Linked DNA regions of Mus musculus. The protein of the gene in region 2 purifies or fractionates together with the protein of the main gene of each other region. This does not show direct contact. Links are inferred from orthologs where the notes say so. Each region holds a gene or a part of one and is shown on either strand. Other genes may lie near its edges.

Region 1 (10,096 bases), on a different chromosome or scaffold from region 2:
AAAGTTCAAGGCAGCCTGTACCACCTCATACTCAACTTCCATGCTAGGGTAACAACTATCCTACAGGTCAGGGAGGGTACAAGCAATCAGCTCTATCCATCAGCTTTATCCATTAAAATGTTTTGTCTAAGGGGCTAGATTGATGGTGCAGTGGTTTAAGAGCACTGAGGTCTTCCAGAGGACCTGGTTTCAGTTCCCAGGACCTATGGAGTAGCTCACAACCAAAGAGATGCAGCATCCTTTCCTGGCCTCTGGGGACACCAGTAGCATACATGAACCCTATCTATATGTGACTACATATAGACAAAACATGCATATACACTAAATGTAAATCTTAAATATTTTGGAGGGGCTAATTTTGGCCAACTATAAAGCACTAAAGAATAAAGAAAAAATGGATCTCTAAAGGAATAGAAGGTCCCCTTCCCCCCAATCTCCTGTTTCTTTAATCTGCCACATATTACCTGCTTCCCAATACTTAGGCAAGAAGATTAGACTACTTTTGTTTGGAACATAAAATACTTCATCCCTCAGACACCAAGTGCTGGCTTCAGGCATTGTCATCTTTGGCCATCACCGAACTGTCATTCTGGCAGCGTTTGAGCACATACAAGGCCAGCACGTTTCCCTAAGTGTACAGTGCAGACATGGTTCAGTCACCTGAATCAGTAGTTTGCGGTCTTCCTCTATATTTTTGTGTGTAGTTTCTTGTTCCTGCTTCTGTTCAGTTTTCATTGGTACATTGATATTAACCCTCAATTTCTTACTGTCAAGATAACAGAGGAAACAGGTCATTGAAAAGTCTGCTTCCTGTCTTTCAACTACACGTTTTGCATCCCTGGACTGGGCAGGTGGTTCACACCCATCTCTTCTATATCATTTCTCATCATTTCTACTGCTACCTGCGAACTGCCCCTCCACCAATGCTATGTAATTTTACCACAGAGGGATGACTGAAGTGACACTTGACCCCTCAATTTAGTGAATTGTAATAACACCAAAATAACTTGATATAAAGGTCTAAACATGCCATATGAGCCACTCAAGACTTATTTTCAAGATAAAGAAAATCAAACTCAGCATTAAAAGCAGAGTCCAGTTCCCCTGGCTCGTGCCGATCCTGAAGTAGGCCAGTGCCAGGGGATAAGACCAGCAGCTACATGTTAGATTTTTCTTACTTTTTATAACCAAGATATAACTTTATTAAGGTGTCTGGCTTCAATTCCACCTCATCAACATTGGCATTTTCATCTTCTAAGACCTAGAAGAAAATAACTGTTACTAGGCACATCCTAGGGAAAGGGTGTCTTCTAGCTCAACACAAAGTATACAAACATACCAGCAATTTCGACTTCAGTAAAATCTGTAGGACTTGTGCCAAAATGTCCTGCAATCAGAGAAAGATGGTAAGCAAGGAGGAAGAATACTTCTTTACAGTGCCTGTCCCAGAGGCCCAGCCTCACAGAAATGGTCATCACCTCAAAGCAGAACTAGTCAGAGAAAGTGACATGGCTTGTTCTTTATGGCCTGAAGCACCCACTATTCAAAGGCAATAATAATGCAGTTTCCCACAAACACTGGACACAATATATGGCCTGCTTCTTCAATGAAACCTACAGGAAATGATTCACTTCTTCGATGTCTGAAGGTTCATAAGACATTTATGTGGTGCTGTGGATCAAACCCAAGGCTTTGTGTGCCAGGCAAGTGTTCTACCAGTAAACTACACCCCTGAACATGCGAACGAAGCAGTAAGGAGCTTCAGCAGAACCAAAGTTGCACTGCATTCATGAACATGCTGAGACTTGGAGGCAGCTGACTTGCTGCCAACTTGGCTTTAGTTGGCAATTCAGTGCATCATATGACCTCTGTAGTTATTAGCTGCTCTGGTGATTTCCAGAACCATCAAGCCTCATGGCATGGGGACTTAACTTTCTCACCTGCACTCTTAACCAAGGCTCCCATGCTGTCAGAGAAGTGACAGCTATGCACTGGGGTCTGGAGGAGGGCAGCTAAAGACCCATAAGGTAATTCTAGTAATACAAAGAAGTAGAAAGATTGGTGTGGCATCGAGGAGAAGGCCAAGCAGAGACTAGAGAGGCAGACCTGTCAACCCTTCCAACCAGCCAGCAAAAAAAAAAAAAAAAAAGTAGGTTTCATTGAAATTTAAAAAAAAAAAATGCATGTACAGCAGTGTACCCATCAGTAAGTACACATGTCAACTAAAAAATTAAATGGGGGCAGGGACCACTTCTTAACTGGTGGAGTACTTGGCTAGCATGCCCAAGGCCCTGGATTCAATCTCCTGCACTGCATAAAAACGGGTGTGGAGCATGCCAGTAATCTATCACAGATACACAGATGTATGTACAAAGACAGGACAGTAAGTTAGTTTAAGGCATTCTCTACCTACTCAGTGAATCTGAGGTCATCCTAGAGTACAGGTGACTATTTCAACAACAGCAACAGAAAATCCCAACCAAACAAAAAATAAAGTGAATGAGGAAAGTTAAAAAATCTTTTATCTGCTTCCCAGCACTCACGTGAAAGCTCAGCCTTGTCTGGAGTGCTATGGGGAATAAATGAGTGAATCCCCAAGTCTTACTGCTGTGCAGCCTAGCTGAATGGATAAGCTCCAGATTCACTGACAGACGCTGCTTCAAAGAAAGAATGACATGTGCACCACAGTGACATCTACTTCTAGTCTCCAACACGTGAATACAAACAAGTACATATATCTACACACACACACACACACACACACACACACACACACACACACACACACACAGAGATAGAGACAGAGACAGACAGTGACTGACTGGGTTTAAAACAGCATTTCAAGGGACAGTGGTGGTAGCACACACCATTAAGCCTAGCACATGGGAGGTAGAGTCAGGCAGATCTCTCTGAGTTCATAGCCAGCATGGATTACAAAGAGAGTTCCTGGATAGCCAGGGCTACACAGAGAAACCCTTAAAAAAAATAGAGCATCTCACACTGTCCTTATAATGCTGACAAAAGAGAGCATTTCTTAACACCCTTATGAAACTGGCATAAAGGTTTATAAGGACACAGCTGGAACTGGCCACCACCATCACAGGTGCTGGCCACCATGCCTGCCTGAGAACCCATGTTTTCTCCAAAACAATTTGCTTAAATACTATAAAGTTATAAAGTCGTGATAGTGGCACATGGAGCTTTACACCCTAGACCTTAGTACCACCAGTACCAGGAATGTGCTGGATGCTCCTCACACAAGTTTGAGACTAGTCAGGTTAACTTTTGGCTCAAGTGAACCTTGCCCATTATATAAACTTCTCTGACTCAACCATGAGAACTCAGTGGTCCTGTTGGCATCCAAGGTGTCAGACACCCCAGTGAAATGCTCTCTGTGGATCTATCTGGCCTGGTCTTCTGGTGCCTTGGTCAGAGTTTACTGCTTTTACTTTTTTCTCCATGCTGCTAACATCTAGTAAGCCAAAGAAACCCATGTCCTCTCCCCCTTTCCACAACATCCCAATGAACAAAGAAGAGGCAGCTTGAGAGTATAGCGTGAGTACCAAACAGTGGAAATACCATTTTAATCTGAGTGCTGTCAGTCAACTGCTGCACAGTATAGGCGTCTTCTGTGTTATACTGAAGCAGGATTGCCATCTGAAATGTGGACGCCTTCGTGGTCCAGAGGAAAGAAAGAGGAAATGTGAAAACATGGGAAAGGTACAACCTGCTTTCATGAAAAGCATTCTTCAGAGGCAAAAAAGGAGAGGGAATACAAAATGTCACAACCAGGGGAATGGACATTTTTCTTAAAGATACCTTTCAAACACTGAAAAGACTCATTTTTCTCCTGAAATGTACCCTATATAAGCATAAATATATGAGCATACCTATAATATAAACATACACCAGGTATAGAGACATTAATTATAAGTTTAATTTTTATGCATAGTAGAACAAAAATTATTTTGGGGATGCATACCATTTATACATTATGTGTATGTTTAAGTTGCCAGAGACCTCCACACCAGGTATAATGGTTACTTAATTAACTTATCAATGTGGAAGTACAAAGGTTAAACTAGTGAGTAGTTTTCGTCACATACTCTACAGTTTAATTACCATTACCAGCTCACTACTGAGACCTTTTCAAGGAATGAAGTAAGTTTTACTTGTGAAACACACTGAGTACAGAAGTGAGAGTAGAAGGAACCTAGACTTTGAACCACAGTTAACTGGACCCCAGCTTTTGTAGAAATGCAATCAGCCCATAGCTGTTATTACTAGGCACTGCACACTGCTAGACGTGCTAGGGAGTCTTATCACTGTGAGGCTGCAGAGAGCTCTGACTGGAACTAGAGAGTGAAATGTCATCTTTTAAATTTGTCACCCCAGCATGTCATGCAAACCTACCAAACCTATCAAAGATCACTTCTATGGTGTAAGCAAACACTGCTAACTCAGTGGAGGAGAAACCTGAGGCTCAGAGTAAGGAAGTGACTTGCATCTATAGTCAGAGAAAATGAGTTCAGCTCACCTGCCCATGACAAGCATGCTTTACTCCCTACATGGCTTTGTCAGAGAATGAACTGCATCCCACTGCATGAGCTATCTAATTGGGTTTCTATAAGTTGTCTTATCATCAATTAGTACTCAAATATTTTACCCAAATAAAAAGATTTTACCTGCAAAGTGTATCTGTTTTTGAAGCAGTTAGTGACTAGTTCCCCTTTGGACAGTTGATACAACCATGTCAATTTTCTGCCACTGTGACGGCTGGCGTAGAAAGCTGTAAATCGCTGATAACTGCGCTCCAACTAGATGAAAGAACAGCACTATGCGGCATCCATGGCTTTCCATTCTACAGTCAGCATTTCTAAATAAAAGTCCCTGCCCCAAGTTCTGAGAACAAAATCAGTGCTTACAGAGAAGTGAACTACAAATGCCGGGGACCGTCTCGTGAACACTTTAAGACTGCAGAGTGAGTACCAAAGCAGGTTTCTACCTCATGCCCAGTAGGTACATCAAGAGTTTACCATGTAACCAGTGAGACTCTGCTTGTCGGGAATAAGTCAACACTGTTTGCTGCAACAGAGAGCCTTTCGCTATTTAACACAGGCCCATTTCACATTCCCCACAAACAGTGCACTGACTGCTTACACAGCACTTCGGTCAGCACACTAAGGTCAGGCAGCCCTTTTCCCTCTTGCCAGCTGAAAGAGACCAAGAAACAAAACCAAAACTATCCTTACCTCTGACGGCAAGGCAAACGTGCAAGACTGCTGAAAGGGCCACGATCCAGAACTCAGGACCTGAATACTGAAGTCCACTGTGGGAAGGAACACATTTAATTACTCTACAAATTTTAAAATTCTATTGTTACACACACACACACACACACACACACACACACACAAGAAATAGTCAAAAGATTTAAAAATTCATTACAAGTCTAGTAGGCTACACATACACAGTGAGATGTCCTAGATCAAAACTTCAAACCAAAGGTTGAAGAACCTAGCAACTGTTGTCCTCCAGGGCAATGGTTTTCCACTTTACTGTCAATATAGAGTTTCTAAGCTGATCTGCCTTGATCAATTTTATTTTTTCCCCTTCTGGATATGAAGTTCAGCATGCACAAGCAATGGATGGTGACCAGGAATGATTGATTTAACAGACCCAAATACAAGAAAATGGAAAGCACAAGAGCAAAGCACTACCTCCACCACAACTTGTGTACCATGTACTACTGTCAAGACCGACAGTAGAGACTTCTGGAACCTATTAATTAGGACACTTTCATTTTCACAGATAACGTAGATGTCCATTAGCAATACAAGCTTAATGATGACAGCAATTTTGATTTGGGAAGAATAAAATTCTCCAACTTTCTTCAAAAACAAGTAAGAGAGAGAAGAAAGAAATGTATTCAAACTCAGGTTCAAAGGCACAACAAGCCCATGGATCAGCACAGAGCGAGGCAGACCTGACTGGTCTCACTCAGCAAAGCTGCCACCATCCCATCTGGGTGTCAGGAGGAGGAGAGAGCACTTGGAAGGAAACGCCTGCTTCTAAGTCTTGGAAACTCTGACCCCATTTACCACCCTCACTCCGTATTATGTCACTTCTCTCATCTGCTACCAAGAGCCCAAAGAGCCCTGCTATGAGCACTCAGTACTCACAGTCCAGCGGTTCTGAATTCGTCAGGTGTTTTTTGAACTGTTCATTCAGATCTTTGCTTACACCAATGTCTTGAAACATTCGCTGAAGTTTGGAAGTGTACTCAAAACCACAAGCTTGCTGAAATAAACCCAGGCAACTGTCTCATTAATTTGTATAGAAACATGAATGTATGCAATGCATATAAGGGATTTTTAGAGAAATCACAATACAATATATTTTTTCTTAAGTTCTTTGAAGCTATTACTAAGATTTAGTCATATCTTATGGCATAAATATATACAGATTAAAGTTTTATGTTCTAAAAGACCATTAAAAGTTGGACAATTGGGTCTTCAATATGCAGTAAACATATTGCAGCATTTAAAGCTGCAATTTAAAGAGATTACGATAGGAAATAATTTAGAAACAGGTGGAATGTTGCACATCTGAAAGCACCGTACTCAGCAGGAAGAGGCTAGCCTGGGCTGTCAATGACCCTCAAGCCAAACCCTTCCAATAGCCCAAATAATCTGCTAGTCCCTTATTCTACCACTAAACTGTCTTTTTTTAGAATGTGCCTGCTGAAGTTTAAACCTCTGGTGTGGAGGTATCTGAAGATGAGTCCTTGTGCGTTCATGAGTGTAGGGTGCCTCTTTAAGAGGATGTTACCCTGTGAGTAATGGGCCAAACAGTGGTTGACTGAGAGCCAGGAGAGCCTGCTTCAAAAACAAGATCTAGATTTTTAAGACTTCTGAGTCCCCAGAATGGAGAGTTCATTTCTTTGCCTAAGTTTCCTGGCCCATGGTATTTTGTTTTGGCAGTCTGAGCTAAGAAAACCACTAAGCATTCACACAGAGCCAACAAGGCTGGATGTGTGGGAAGCAGGTGAGGATGTGGCAAAGGTGAGCAGAGCCTGGCCAAGGAAGGGCTACATGGAACAGAAGAACCCTAAACAGGGTGGCAGAGGAAGGAAAGCACCGGAGGCCTGGCTGGAAAGCAGGTCTCACACTGCACGAACCAAGTCAATAAACCCTGAGGAAATTGGGATTCTCCAGGAAAAGAATAGTACCTTTAACTTGGAGATCATGCTTGCTTCAGCATCGTCACTCGCACTGTTTTGATGTACCAGTCTCTTGGCAAGCATCTTTGCATAGAACTTCTGAAATACATCTTTGTCCTCGATGTACTTGAAGACCACCATCTGGCAAAGCCAGGGAAAGAACACCTTAGTGAAACTAACTCACAAGCCCATTTGTCTCTAGCTACCTCCAGGAGCTGCTTGGTTTTGGGTGGGCCTATGTTCTAACCTGGCACAAACTCACCCTGAAATGTTCACAATAAATAGCGCCATCCATTCCTTAAATCCCAGTTGACTGGACTAGACTTAGTAGCAAGAAGCAAAGTACTAAGGCTGGAGAAATGGCTCAGAGGATTAGGGTACTTGCTGTTCTTGCAGAGGACCTGAGTTCCATTCCTAGCACATGGTGGCTCACAACCATCTCTAGTTCCAGGAGATAGAACACCCTTCTGACTTCCTCAGGCACAAGCACACATGTAGTACATATACATACATGTACACAGGCAAAACACTCATATGCATACAATAAAATAATCTTTGAAAATTTAAAACAAAAAAGAAGCGAAGTACCAACATTAAAAGTAAAATTTAGGAGTAAAACCATAAATTCGAAATCAAAATACTTATGACTTTGCATATTTCAGGCCCAATATAAAAAGAGCCTTACAAAGGGCAATGGGTGTGGCCATGAAACACCTTACCACTTGATTGAGGGTGTCTTCTAGTTCTGCCTCTTCTGGGTTCTTGGAACTGAAATTTAAAAGGGCAAGGTGTTTACAAACAAGCAAGCAGACATGCACACATACCACTCTGCCAAACTAGCAGTATCCCACGTGGCTTCAAGTATTTAATAATGAGTTCTCAGATCAGCTGGTGAGCTAGGGGAGGTCACTTTCCTCTCCTAAGGCAATCTGGCAGCCTCACATTGTACCCCATCATGGAAGAGATTACAAAATAGCCACTAGGATATCTAAGATGAAAACTGACAGAAGTTAATTATAATATTATGAAGTTTCCCTTCAAGACAACCCATTTAAATATCAGTAAGTGAGCTGCATTCTTACAATTGCTCCCTACAATCTGAGATAGCAAGTGACCTTACCCAATGTTTCCCCACCACGTACAAAGCAGGTAACACAATTCTCCCAATAGTGAGCTGTTTCGGTTTTGCTACTGATCTACGCCCACAGTCTGAAGATGCTGCATGGCCTACCTTTTGTACAATTATTTTCCAGCTCACTGATGATGACTTGTTAACTTAAAAAATAAAAAGGGTTTATGTGTATGTGTGTATGCCTGCTTGTCTGTATGAGCACCACATATACACACAGGAACCTATGCAGGCCAATAGAAGGCATCAGATTCCCTGGAACTGGAATTACAGATGTTTGTGAGCTGCCCAATTGGATACTAGGAAGTAAACCCAGGTCCTCTACAGGAACAGCAAGTGTCTTTAACAGCTGATCCATTGCTCAGGCTCTGAGAGTTAAACTGTCATTGTTTACATTGTGGGTATTTTCTTAGCCTTAGAGAGCTTTATAAAATATATTGACATCAGAATCAGTAAAATTTGGGGACCTATGCCCCCTTCATAGCATTTGGTGATGTGGTTTGTGGGACAGAGGCAAACCTTGAACATTGCAGGAATGAAACTGTGACGGGGAGAGAAGCTAAGGGAACATAACGAAGAGGAGGCAGCCAAGCCTAATTATACAGCTTGCTTCTAGCTCTGAATACAGCTAAGAAGATTAGGAAAATGTCAGGTGAGTAGATGGTGACTTGAAAATGAAGTGTATGTAGCACCAACAAATGACCAAATAAGAACAAAACTTTAAAATAGTCACATGGCTGAATTTGGTGGTGTGCTCTATATACCCAGTATGTGGAAAGCTGTGGGTAGGAGGACTGCTGGGAGTTTTGAGGCTAGCCTGAGCTACACAACAGCTCTGTCAAATGTAGACCAACACATAATCCATATTGTAGTATTCAGTTTTCTCCGACTGTTCAGAAAGCCAGTGGGAGTTGATGCAGGTTTCAACAATGTAGTGCAATACAAGTAAATGTAATGCAACTACTGACCCCTTGTATTAAACTCAAGTTTAAATAGGGTCCTAGGAAAATATAATACCAGGTCAGTACCTTTTCTTCAGCAAGGAGTCACAGTACCGAGCAAGCAGCTCAGGGGATTTACTGGATGACTGGGCCATTTTGGTAACCGCATTGTTGTTTATGAAGCGACCACAAGCCTGTGTATATAAAAGACAGTTAGTTAAAGGTGTCCTGTACCTACATACTCAATAGGCATCTCAGTGACATACTTACCTTATCAAGAGCAGCTACGAAGCCAGCATCGTTGTTGAATGCTGACATCACCAGGGCATTGTATTTTTTATGAACATCCAGCACTGTCTGCACATACATCTTGGGGTCCTTAGGTAGAGGGAAAGCCAAAACAAACAATTAAAAACACACATTTCATGCTGCTGTAAAACGTTCTACAAGTTTTAACTACATCTTCAAAGAAGTTAATATGATCAGAAATACTTTTGGTTCCATCACTAAAACACACAGGACATTATGTTTCCATGTAAAACAAAATAATTCTTCAAATTAAAAATTAAATTCCTTAAAAAAAAACTTGAAAAGATCATGAAATTAGTTTTTATCAAACGACAGGTCTGAACACAGATGGGGACACACAATGGAAACTGTGTGGCCAAGGTCAGGGACAAGCACTGGGAACTCGGGGTGTGGGCGACAGGGACCCTTCAGACAAAAGAAAATATCGGAAGATGCTAAAGGGGACAGTACTGGTAGATACAGGAAATGGATGGAGAAGGAATCAATATCAATGGT
Region 2 (11,207 bases):
CATCCTAGTGGTGCAGGTGTGGGAGAGCTGGCAAGCTTACCAGCCCAGCAACCACCCAGGCCCAGATCCAAGGCTTTGAGTTGACCCACCCCAAAATCTACATCATCTGTCAACTGTTGGAAAACCTGAAAGGGCTGGTCTTGCTGATCTAAAGCTACAGGATTGTCATGATACGGGGCAACAACAGGATTGCAAGAGGAGTCCCGTCACAACAGAAGCCAGAGACCTCAAAGACCAAAGACTCATTGCAATGAACATTTGCAAGTGAAGATGGGTGGACAGAGGGATATATGGTAGAATACACTATAACACCCTACAGCTTCCATGATGAGATGTGTATGCTTTGTGTGTGAGAGATTGTCTTTTGTGGAGAGGTAGCAAGAGCAGAGGTTGGATTCAAAGGAATGGAGATGAGTGGGACACAGTGATGTGAAACAATCGATAAAAGATTAAAAAAAAAAAAAAAACCATAAAAACCAAAACAAAACAAAAACCCAAAACCATCCAGTGGTCTTTGTTGCCATGTCCAAACTTTGAACATCGAATTCTTTTTTTTTTTTTTTTTTAATTTTCTTTGACTGTTGTGTCAATGTTTTCTTTTCTTTTCTTTTTTTTTTTTTTTAAAGATTTATTTCTTTATTATATGTAAGTACACTGTAGCTGACTTCAGAAGAGGGAGTCAGATTTCGTTACAGATGGTTGTGAGCCACCATGTGGTTGCTGGGATTTGAACTCGGGACCTTTGGAAGAGCAGTCGGCGCTCTTAACCACTGAGCCATCTCGCCAGCCCCTGAACATCGAATTCTTAGGGTCATGGGATTTTTGAGCAAGGAAAGAATTTGTCCCTTCCCATTATTTTCAAGGCAAGGAAACAAACACAGACAGGTTAAACAATTCATCTAAAATGTTCTTGCTAGACCTAAAATGTTTTTTTTTTTCTTGTATTTTTGTTTTGGTTTTCTCTGTGTATCACTTGCTGTCCTGGAACTTACTCTGTAGACCAGGCTAGCCTTGACCTTAAAGATCTGCCTGCCTTTGTCTCCTCCTGAGTGCTGAGATTAAAGGTTATGTGCTACCACACCCAGTGTAAAATGTTTTAAAGAAACGAAAATAAGAAGTAGCCTACACTTTTCTGATTCACATTATACTAGAGAGAATGTCTAAAACTTTTCTCATAAATCTTTATAGAAATGACTCTTCTCCAGGGGAAGAGCATGAGGGGAATGGGGACATCTAATCAGAGGAAATGCCACTCCCAATATCCATGTAGTCAACACTTGCTCTTCTCAAGAGGGAGGAGCTTAAAGGGATTAACCCTTGTAAGTTATTAAAGAAAGAGCACTGCTTCCCCTCCCCCATAACTCCCCCAGGCTCCTTACCTGTACAGAGAAGTCCATCTTTGTAGTAAAGTGCATACACTCTGGCACTATGTCCAATTAACGAAGAGGTCTCAAAGGCTTCATGGTCCTCCAGTTGCTTCATCCTCAAAATAGCCTTCAAATAAACCTTCTTCCAGTGCAATGAGTCCTGAACAGAATCATCTATCTGCCAGCCCAAATTTTTACATGCAGTCTGCCACACCTCTGTACAGGCACTTATCACCTTATTCCACTGCTTAGAGACCAGGCAGCATGTGAGTAAAGTCTGAGGATCGAGCCATTTTAACAAATAAAAACTGAGCTCCAGGGGAAGGAGTTTGAGGAAGTCCCGCTTGAGGAGAGTCTCCAGGTTATTGGAGAGATGCCTGAGCTGGACTGCCCCACTCAGACTAATCAGGTGGTCCAGAGTTTCATTTTTCTGCAAGTCCGTCAGAGAAAGAAATGTAACAGAAATGTTATCAAGCCATGTCTCAAAGTCCTTTCTCTCCATAAGGTTATGGAAATATTTACCTGTGGCACATCAAAATATTATATTAGTTCTGTTCAAAAAGATTTTTCAAGCAAGACTGATAATAAATGTAGTATTAAAAATTAGTGTAAAATTGGCATTACAAATTTATGCTTACTTTACAGTTAATATGCTATATCTGAAAGTTCCCATGTACACAAAAGAAAATACATCTAAGAAAACAGTTTTTTTGGGTTTTTTTTTGGGGGGGGTTTCAAGACAGAGTTTCTCTGTGTAGCCCTGGCTGTCCTTGAACTCACTCTGTAAACCAGGCTGGCCTCAAACTCAGAAATCCATCTGCCTCTGCCTCCCAAGTGCTGGGATTAAAGGTGTGAACCACCACTCCCCAGCAGAAAACATATTTTTAAAAATCATGATATAGTAAACAAGTCAGAGGAACATGTTAGTGTGTGACTTGCTCCTTTTTAAGTCTAACACATGCCACATGCACTGTCACCAAAAAGATTTATAGAACATTCATTCATAAAGAGTATTCTAGTCTACATACAACCTTCCACTCAAACCATTACAAAACTACCTCCTTAGTAATTTACTTCCTAAATGCACTCTATTTGGGAAGTTACAAGAATGGCACCAACATATAACATATACAAATCTCTGGAGCTGTGACCTCTGTATCAGTTATGCTACTAGGTGCAACCTGACCTGCCACCCAGATCACAAAATTTGGTTCTACAATAAATGTTGAAGCAAAAAGATGTGAGGAAAGAAAAAACAAATGTGTGCTAAGCTGTGTGCCTTGGGTATTCTGGTATTCCATTCCTTTACAGTACTGTCTGTTAGAACATGGATTGCTAAAGGCTACAGTTTGCTTTTATAAGCCTCACATAAGCTAGTGACAGCTCTTAACTGTGTTCCCTACAGAGCCATGAGGGTCCTTGTAGCCTGTAAGATAAAGCAAATTAACAATCTCCATGATGCTGGCACAGTGAAACATACAATCTTAGCTTCTTAGAGGCTGCCCTTACAAGATAACTAAGTTAGAGATCAACCTGGGAAATATGTGATCATGGAATGCTCAACTAAAGTCTAAGCTTCCATTTGTAAAACAGAAGCTATTCTAACTTAGCAGTGTGCGAATCAGAAAAGCTGCAGTGATACGGCACATCTAAGCCGCTAACTGCTTCCTTAGCTCTTTTCTTTCTGCACACCCCCCTTGCTATCTTGTGCCTCTCACCCTTCTCAATGTAAACACTTAACTTGTTCTGCAGTCCTCAACAGAAACAATCACAAAGCTCTGAGGAAATGTGTAGTATGATAAACATTCCTAAATTGGGAGATGAGAGCATGAATTTGGTTTCTGCTTCTAAGCAATTATATTTATGTTGGTCCTAATAACTGAAGCAGCGCCTAAAAATATCACGCTTGATTCTAACATGGTTCATAGAAGAAGTCAATACTACTGCCCTTACCAACAAAGAGGCTAGGGCCCAAGAGGCAGGGTGGCTCAACCAGAGTTACACAGGAGCAGCAGCTCAGTAGTACCCAATCTCCACCTGCATCTTCTACAGGCAAGGCATTATGGGTGTAAACTCAATGTTTTCCCTCCTTCTAGTCTGCATAACCTATGCAGGTAAGGAATCAAGGCTTCAGGCCTGTGAGATGAAGTGCTTACTGAAAAGCCTGATGACCTGGGTTGGATACCCAAAACCCACGTAAATTTGGGGGGAGAAAACTGACTCCATAAAGCTGTATGCAAAACCACGCACGCACACACTGGCATATACATGCTCCCTCCAACATCCTACATAGACACAGACATATAGACACACTAAAAATCATTTTTTTAAAGAACAAAAAATAAATACTCATTGTTGTTGGGAAGGTTGTCTCCTTGCCTCCCCTTTCACAACCAGTTAAAAGGTAGGCCAGGCGTGGTGATACATGCCTTTAATCCCAGCCCTCGGAGGCAGAAGCAGGCTCTGTGAGTTTGAGGCCAGTCTGGTCTACACAGAGGATTATGTGTACAGAAAAGTATTCTGTGAATATTGAGGAAGCTGATTAAATATTGCTTCAAGAGAGAACTGGAAAGAAAAGGGATGAAGTCCCTTTTAACAAAACATCTTTTTGTATTTAAAACCATGTGACTACACTATTGTAAAGATCTTTTCCTCCTTTTGCTTGTGATATTTAGAAAATTGTTTTTACTGTTCCTTTTTGTTTTGCTTTTTGTTTTATTTTGTTTTTTGAGACAGGCTTTTGCAGTGAAGCCCAGACTGGTCTCACAATTCACAAGACTGGAGTGCTGGGACTGCTGGAGTCCACAACCACCCTTGGCCTAAAAGCCATTAATTTAGAGACTAATCTTTTAAACCTTTGAAAGAATACAAATAATGTTTATAAAACACGGGCTCTGAAATTTCACTTGTTGGGTAACCATGGGCAAATCATTTCTTGTGTTTCAAGCCAAATTTCCTCACTTGTAAACTGTCGCCTGGTACTGTTTTACCTACAAGATTGTTAGGGTTAAACAGCGTTCTGTACAGTATCTGGCACACTATAAGCCTACAATAAATGCCAGTTACTGTTATAATGTAGTACTAATACTGTCATTTCTCCCCTTTTAAAAAGAAGCATCATCTCAAATACACACCTGTTTTCAAGGCATACACACAAGCATGGTGCCTTCCTACACATACTACTACGTTCTGCATTTTATAAACCACCTGTCCACATTTCATCATCTTTAATTAATTAAAGTGCTAGCCTTGGGGCATCAATGTTAACTCGTTTCGCGGCTAGGAAAAACCGAAGCACCAGAAGGCAGGAACTCTTAGCTCTAATTTTCCTGTCTAAAATTAACTCCGAGTCTCTCAGCCCGTTCGTGACTCCCTTGGTCCCCTGCTCCTGGAGCCGTGTTCCGCGCGGCACTGACCTGAGCGAGCGCCCCGGGGCCCGGGACCTCGCGCCGGGCTCACACCGACTAGGCGCGCTCGGGCCGCCAGAGCGTCGCAGCGGCCGGGTCCGCTCCACAGCCATGGCGCCTGCGGGGAAAGGGAGAAAACAGGCCGGGGCGGCGGGTCAGTAACGCCGCGGGCGCTGGGGATTCCTGTCCAGCCCGGCCCGGCCAATCGCAAATACAGACCTGGACCTACGGCCGCTGCTCTGGGTCCGCAGCCTCACAGGGGAGCGGCTTCCGGTGCTGCTGCGTCATCTCCGCGCGCCATTCCGGCGCCCAGCGTCGGGCGGAAGCGGCTCTACTTCCGTCTCTGCCCTCCAAGTACCTGGGAAAGAATGGCCCCGACTGTGGAAAAGGGCCGAACATGTGCTGTACCACCGTCTGCGCTTACACCTTATGATCCTGAGCAAGGTGGACCTCTAGATTTGCACAATGTTTATTTTCCTCATCTACTTTTTTTTTTTAACCAAGTTAGGGTAATATTTCACAGGAGAGAAAGGGCTAAGGCTCCAAATCCACATGTGACGATATTCAAACAGCCCATTGACACCTGGCACCTCCCAAACACGATTCTGACACAGCTGAACAAATCCCTAACTGCGCGAGGTCTATGTCTAGTCGTAGGAGGAAGACAGGACAAATAACAAAGTATACTGCAGGAAGCAAGGACAAAACATGGTAAGGGAGTTGGGTAGGGGCTGGGTTAAGCTCGAATCCCAGGACATACATGCACGCTGTCCAAACGTGGCCACTTAGCCACGGAGACAGCTGTTCTCCGAAGCGCTTGTTACATATCAGCTAACTAGCGTGAAGCCTTTAGTCCCCCCAGATAGAAGTGGTAAGCAAGAAGCTCTATAAATGCTGCTGTGTGAAAGCTTTGCCTGTCTGTTTGATGGGACAAGGTTTTTCTGTAACTCTGGCTGACCGGGACCTCGCTCTGTAGACCAAGCTGGTCTTGAACTCAAAGATCTGCCTGCCTCTCCCAATAGCTTGGGACTAATGAATGGTGTGCGCCATCATTGCCCAGTTTTTGGTTTGTTTGTTTTTGTTTTTCCTATTTAAAGCTTTTGTTTCCCTTGGGTTTTTTTTTTTTTTTTTTTTTTTTTTTTGGGTTTTCGAGACAGGGTTTCTCTGTGTAGCCCTGGCTGTCCTGGAGCTCACTTTGTAGACCAGGTTGGCCTCGAACTCAGAAATCCCCCTGCCTCTGCCTCCCGAGTGCTGGGATTAAAGGCGTGCGCCACCACGCCCGGCTAGGGTTTTTTTTAAGAGTTATTTATTTTATGCGTATGAGTACGCTGTAGTTGTGAGCCTTCATGTGGATGATGGGAATTGAATTTAGGACCTCTGCTCACTCCGGTCAACCCCGCTCCCTATGTGAGACCGGCGCTCGCTCAGTCCCAAAGATTTGTTATTATAAATAAGTACACTGTAGCTGTCTTCAGACGCACCAGAAGAGGGCGTCAGGTCTCATTACAGGCGGTTGTGAGCTACCGTGTGGTTGCTGGGATTTGAACTCAAGACCTTCAGAAGAGCAGTCAGTGCTCTCACCCACTGAGCCATCTCACCTGCCCTGTTTTCCCTTGTTTTACAGCAGCCGCCAGAGCAACAAGGCGAGAAGGGCAAATGCTAGGAGGAAAGGGAGAAGGAGTTAACAGTTCTTATACAAGCCTTGGGTGTCTGGTCTCTTAGATCTAATTAGATCTCTTAGATCTGTAGATCTAATTCCTTAGCCCTTAACGCCTGCTAGTGTTGCAACTCTTGGCCCACAATCCCTGAGAATCTTGGCTTTAAAGACTTGACAACCAAGCTAGAGATAGTGGCCCGGGTGCATACTCCCAGCACTTTAGAGGCAGAGGTAGCATAATCAAGAGCTCAAGGTCTCCTTTCCGGGTTGGGGAGGTGAGCAGGACCCACAGTCTCCCTTCTCAGTTGTTACAAACTTTTCTTCTTCAGCCCTCTCTTGCTTTCTATTTCTTCTGTCCTTCCTCCATTCCTGACCACTCTGAAGCCTCTCTGCTGCTGCTCCAGCTGTCACTTTCTAAGTTTTCCATGCTGACTGATTCTCTTGCTGCCACCATGAGTTTCCCATCTGCCATCAGTAAGCCTTTCTCTGCTGTCTGTGTAACCAGTTCACGGTACTGAGAGTTGGTGGGATCACTGGTGAGACAGGCTTTTTACTAGGCTTAATGTTGCAACAGGAGGGGGAGAGGTGTAGGACACTGTCTCCCAGCCAATCCCAGTCATCTGAGTGACTTGATTGCAACACTCTTGATTACACAGCCAGAGAAGGGACTGAATCAGTCACAATTATGAAAGTTTATGTTTGGGCCAATCTCAGCCTTTCTCCTTTGAACCAGTCATAGCAGTCAGAGAAGCTTTGAGGCTCAAGAAGTGCCCCACCTGTCATCTAATTTCACTAATAGTTTCAAGGTCATCTAATTTCAAGGTCATCTAATTTCACTAATGCTTGGGATAGCCAGGAATCTGGTACAAGCTGTGTCTTAGAACCCTGATGGGTTGTACCTTCTGGATCTGGGGCAATCATCTGCAATTGTGCATTCTTTTCAAGGCATCCTCGGAGTGTTCAAGGCGCTGGCGTAAGGGTAGTATCGACTAGCTATTTGACTAATAGTTTCTTTGCTTAAGGCATTGAGGGTGCAAGGCAGAACCCAACAGTTGTTAATTAGGGAGTCAAAATTGTCACATTCCCCCAGCTTCTTATTCATATGAAGTGAATATTAGACAGGTAGCTTTCAGTAAGGATTTAAATAACTTATCATTAGCACTAATAATGATTTTTACTAGTCTGACAGTGCTTTTCTTTAAATTAAACTTTAAGGGCTAGAGAGAAAGCTCAGCAGTTAAGGGTACTGGATACTTTTTCAAAGGACCCAAGTTAAATTCCCAGCACCCACATGGTAGCTCACAGTGTCTGTAACTCCAGTCCCAGGGGATCTGACACCCTTTTCTGGTCTGGGTACCAGGAATGCAAGTAATACATAGATATGCATGCAAGAAAAAAACACCTAGACACATAATAAAAAGTGTGTGTTTGTGTGTACATACCATGATGCATGTGTGGAGGTCAGAGGACAATTTACAAGAGTTAGTTCTTCCCCTTTTACCTCCTGAACCATCTCAGTGCTTTAAGGATGCTCAACACCTGCTCAGTGACCCAGGGAGACTGTGCCCTCCTCCTCTGTCCCAATCACACTCTCATCATACTGTCTTCAGGATTGGACACAAAGCAGCAGGACTTTCAGTATTAAGAACCAGATCTGAGAGGCACAACGGTTCACCCACCACAGGAGCCACTAAGAAGTACAAATATGTGCAGATTCCTGCCTGAGCTTACTTCCTTGTCACGTCCTAACGACGTCAGATTCCTGCCTGAAGCCCATTTCCTTGTCCTTGGTGAATGTCAGATTCCTGCTAAGCGGTCCCCCAAAGGTTTTCCACAGCTGAGAGGTTGGGTGAGATAACAGGGCCAGTACTGAAGAGCTCACTGTTATGATGTGAGTGCTAGAGAACAGACAGCTTCACCAACTCAGCTACCACCCAGGCCCAGAGCCAGGGTTGTCCCACCCCAGGATCTACCGCTTCTCTAAACTGCTGGAGTCCATGAAGCTGCAGGACCTCTTTGACATGGGATAGGGCTACAAAAGGAGTCTCAGTAAGGATCCGGTATTGATAGTGAGTAGCAGAAACCAGACCAATGACTCATTGCAATGAACATTTGCAAGTAAAGATGTGTGGACAGAAGGGTATACTTTGGGACACACTACAACTTCCATGACCAGATTTTTCATTTTGTTATTTTCTTTTGTGGGGGAGGGAGGTTGCAAGAGTACAGGGCAGATACAAAGGGATTGGAGATGAGTGGATGTTGTGCCCACCTCGTCCGGCAAGGAAAACACAAAACGGTCAGATTCTTCTCAACAGCTTTATTCCAGGAACGCCTCGATGCTACGGGAACCCAGGGAGGACTCCTTATATACACCCCAGCACAGGGAAAAGCTTTGTGTCCTCCTGGGATTGGTCAGTCTGCTGGCACCTTAATTTGCATGCACCCGTTCGGGAGGGGTTGGCGTCAGATTCGGGCTAGCGCCTGCGTAGTGCTGTTGTTTACGGTGATGGTGTACCAGAGACCGGTGTACCAGAGACCGGCGCCATCTTTTAGGCGCCAGCTGCCTACATCTCCCCCTTTTTTGTTTAATAATATGATGCTGGACTAGGTCTGGGCAAGTCTGTTCATCGGCCACGTCTCCTGTCTTAGGTCGATCCTTTCATGTCACGGCCTTACCCGTCCAAGGGTTACCCTATCGCCTCCAGGCCCCATGTCTTAGGTTGGTCTGTGCATAAGGAAAGTTGCCTGTCACTGGATACTGTGGATCTGTGTGACTACAACTGCCAGACGACCTAGGGCGAACTCTTAATTTTTTAAAGAGGCCAGCCAAACATTGGGAGATGTGCCATCTTTATGCCATCAATGCTTGGTACACCACTGCCTAATACTGAGCGTGCTCTCGTTTGAGTCGACACAATAGCCAGATACAAAAGACACAACCCAGGAGGACCACTGCCCCCCAGGCCAACATTCCCGCCCATTCCTTAAAAAATGAGAAGGCATTGGTGATCCAGGAGGTGAAGTCCCCCAAGGTGACAGGGTCCAGTCGAGTGCTGTTGAGTTTGGCAATCTGGAGGAGCAGCTTTCTGGAGAACTCTGCTTTAGCCAACCAATTTCCTACTCAAATAAGAGGCGACTCTGTTCAAGAGACTGAGAGAAATTAGCTTGTACAACTTTATACAATTCTTCAACCTGTTCTTGAATTAAGTCTATTAAATAAGAGAGAGTCCCATCTGCTTTGATATGACTGAGGAGGCATACATGACAAAATGTGGCCACAGTTTTTGCTACAAGTATATTCATCAGAGTTTGGATGTAATAATAGATGCCCCAAGTGTAATTATGTTGTGGACAGTATTGACCATCTCTATCCTAATTTCTTGGTGAATGAACTCATTCTCAAACAGAAGCAAAGATTTGAGGAAAAGAGGTTCAAATTGAACCACTCAGTGAGTAGCACCAATGGGCATAGGTGGCAAACATTTCAAAATCTACTATAGGCACAAAGGTGGGAAGTTTCACAACCACAGCAGTATACCCTGCCAACACTCTGCTAAAAAATATGTCCTTCCAGAACTATTACAATCTATATCTCTGTAGGAGGGAGCAATTTTCAAGTCAGCCTCTCTGGTACCCAAATCGGGTGTTCTTGATCCTGTGGAAAAACACAGGATCAACACACCCCTTTTTGGTTTTTTTTTTTTTTTTTTTTTTTTTAAAGATTTATTTATTTATTATATGTAAGTACACTGTAGCTGTCTTCAGACGCACCAGAAGAGGGCATCAGATCTCATTACGGGTGGTTGTGAGCCACCATGTGGTTGCTGGGATTTGAACTCCTGACCTTTGGAAGAGTAGTCGGGTGCTCTTACCCACTGAGCCATCTCACCAGCCCCCCTTTTTGGTTTTGTAAGAGTTCTTTTAAGGTTCGATGTGCTCTTTCCACAATGCCTTGGCCCTGTGGATTGTAGGGAAGACCAGTAGAGTGACTAACCTGCATTATTTTGCAAAAGGTTTGGAATGATTTTGATGTATATGCGGGGCCATTATCAGTTTTTAAACTATCTGGCCTTCCCCAAGCTGCCCAGGCTTCTAGGCAATGGCCAACCACGTTGTGGGATTTCTCACCGGACATGGGGGAGGCAAAAATGACACCTGAACAGGTGTCAATTGAAACATGAACATATTTTAATCTTCCAAATGCTGAGACATGAGTAACATCCATTTGCCATAGTTTTAGAGGAAGCAATCCACGAGGGTTAATACCAACATGAGGAGGGTGGTGAAATTGTACACACTGTGGGCATTGTAACACCACATCTCATGCTGAGGCTCAAGAGATATCAAATTTCTGCTGAAGTGTGGCAGCAGGAACATGATACAATCGATGAAAATCTTTTGCAAACTCCAGTGGGGTGGCATGAAAAATAAATTCCATGCGAGTGCTAGCGTCTACTAAGGCATTTCTTTCTGCCATAGGGCCTGGCAAGGTAGAGTGAGCTCGAATATGTTGAATAAAGAATTTATGTGTTCTTTTCCAAATCAATGTTTGTAACTCTAATAAGATGGTGCACACAGGGCTGGTGGGTCTAATGGGTCCTGCAATTTCTAATGCACGCACTGCATTTACTACATAAGCCGAATCAGAGACTAGATTAAAAGATTCCTTAAAAGCTTTGAATACTTCCAACACAATTTTACATTCAGTAAGTTGCGGGGTGCCAGGATTGTATTGAAAAAAGAACGGGTTTTTGAGAATTAACTACATAGGCA

What was found.
Region 1: the proteins of Fbxw2 (region 2) and Cul1 purify together in Homo sapiens (affinity purification with western blotting; 13 studies listed by BioGRID and IntAct, with this or other methods). This does not show direct contact. The link is inferred for Mus musculus from reciprocal best matches to the Homo sapiens genes FBXW2 and CUL1.

What each region holds. Positions count from the first base shown.
Region 1 is NC_000072.6:47,514,369-47,524,464, reverse strand, and holds part of Cul1 (cullin-1), read right to left. Parts: intron 9,671-10,096; coding exon 9,563-9,670; intron 9,487-9,562; coding exon 9,380-9,486; intron 7,991-9,379; coding exon 7,942-7,990; intron 7,364-7,941; coding exon 7,232-7,363; intron 6,301-7,231; coding exon 6,183-6,300; intron 5,330-6,182; coding exon 5,253-5,329; intron 4,818-5,252; coding exon 4,686-4,817; intron 3,673-4,685; coding exon 3,580-3,672; intron 1,388-3,579; coding exon 1,340-1,387; intron 1,262-1,339; coding exon 1,179-1,261; intron 767-1,178; coding exon 661-766; intron 1-660. UniProt on the Homo sapiens protein: Core component of multiple cullin-RING-based SCF (SKP1-CUL1-F-box protein) E3 ubiquitin-protein ligase complexes, which mediate the ubiquitination of proteins involved in cell cycle progression, signal transduction and transcription.
Region 2 is NC_000068.7:34,821,179-34,832,385, forward strand, and holds the start of Fbxw2 (F-box/WD repeat-containing protein 2), read right to left. Parts: upstream 5,058-11,207; 5' UTR 4,994-5,057; intron 4,893-4,993; 5' UTR 4,784-4,892; exon of another isoform or gene 4,593-4,783; coding exon of another isoform or gene 4,502-4,592; intron 2,004-4,501; exon of another isoform or gene 1,890-2,003; coding exon of another isoform or gene 1,870-1,889; coding exon 1,380-1,869; intron 1-1,379. UniProt on the Homo sapiens protein: Substrate-recognition component of the SCF (SKP1-CUL1-F-box protein)-type E3 ubiquitin ligase complex.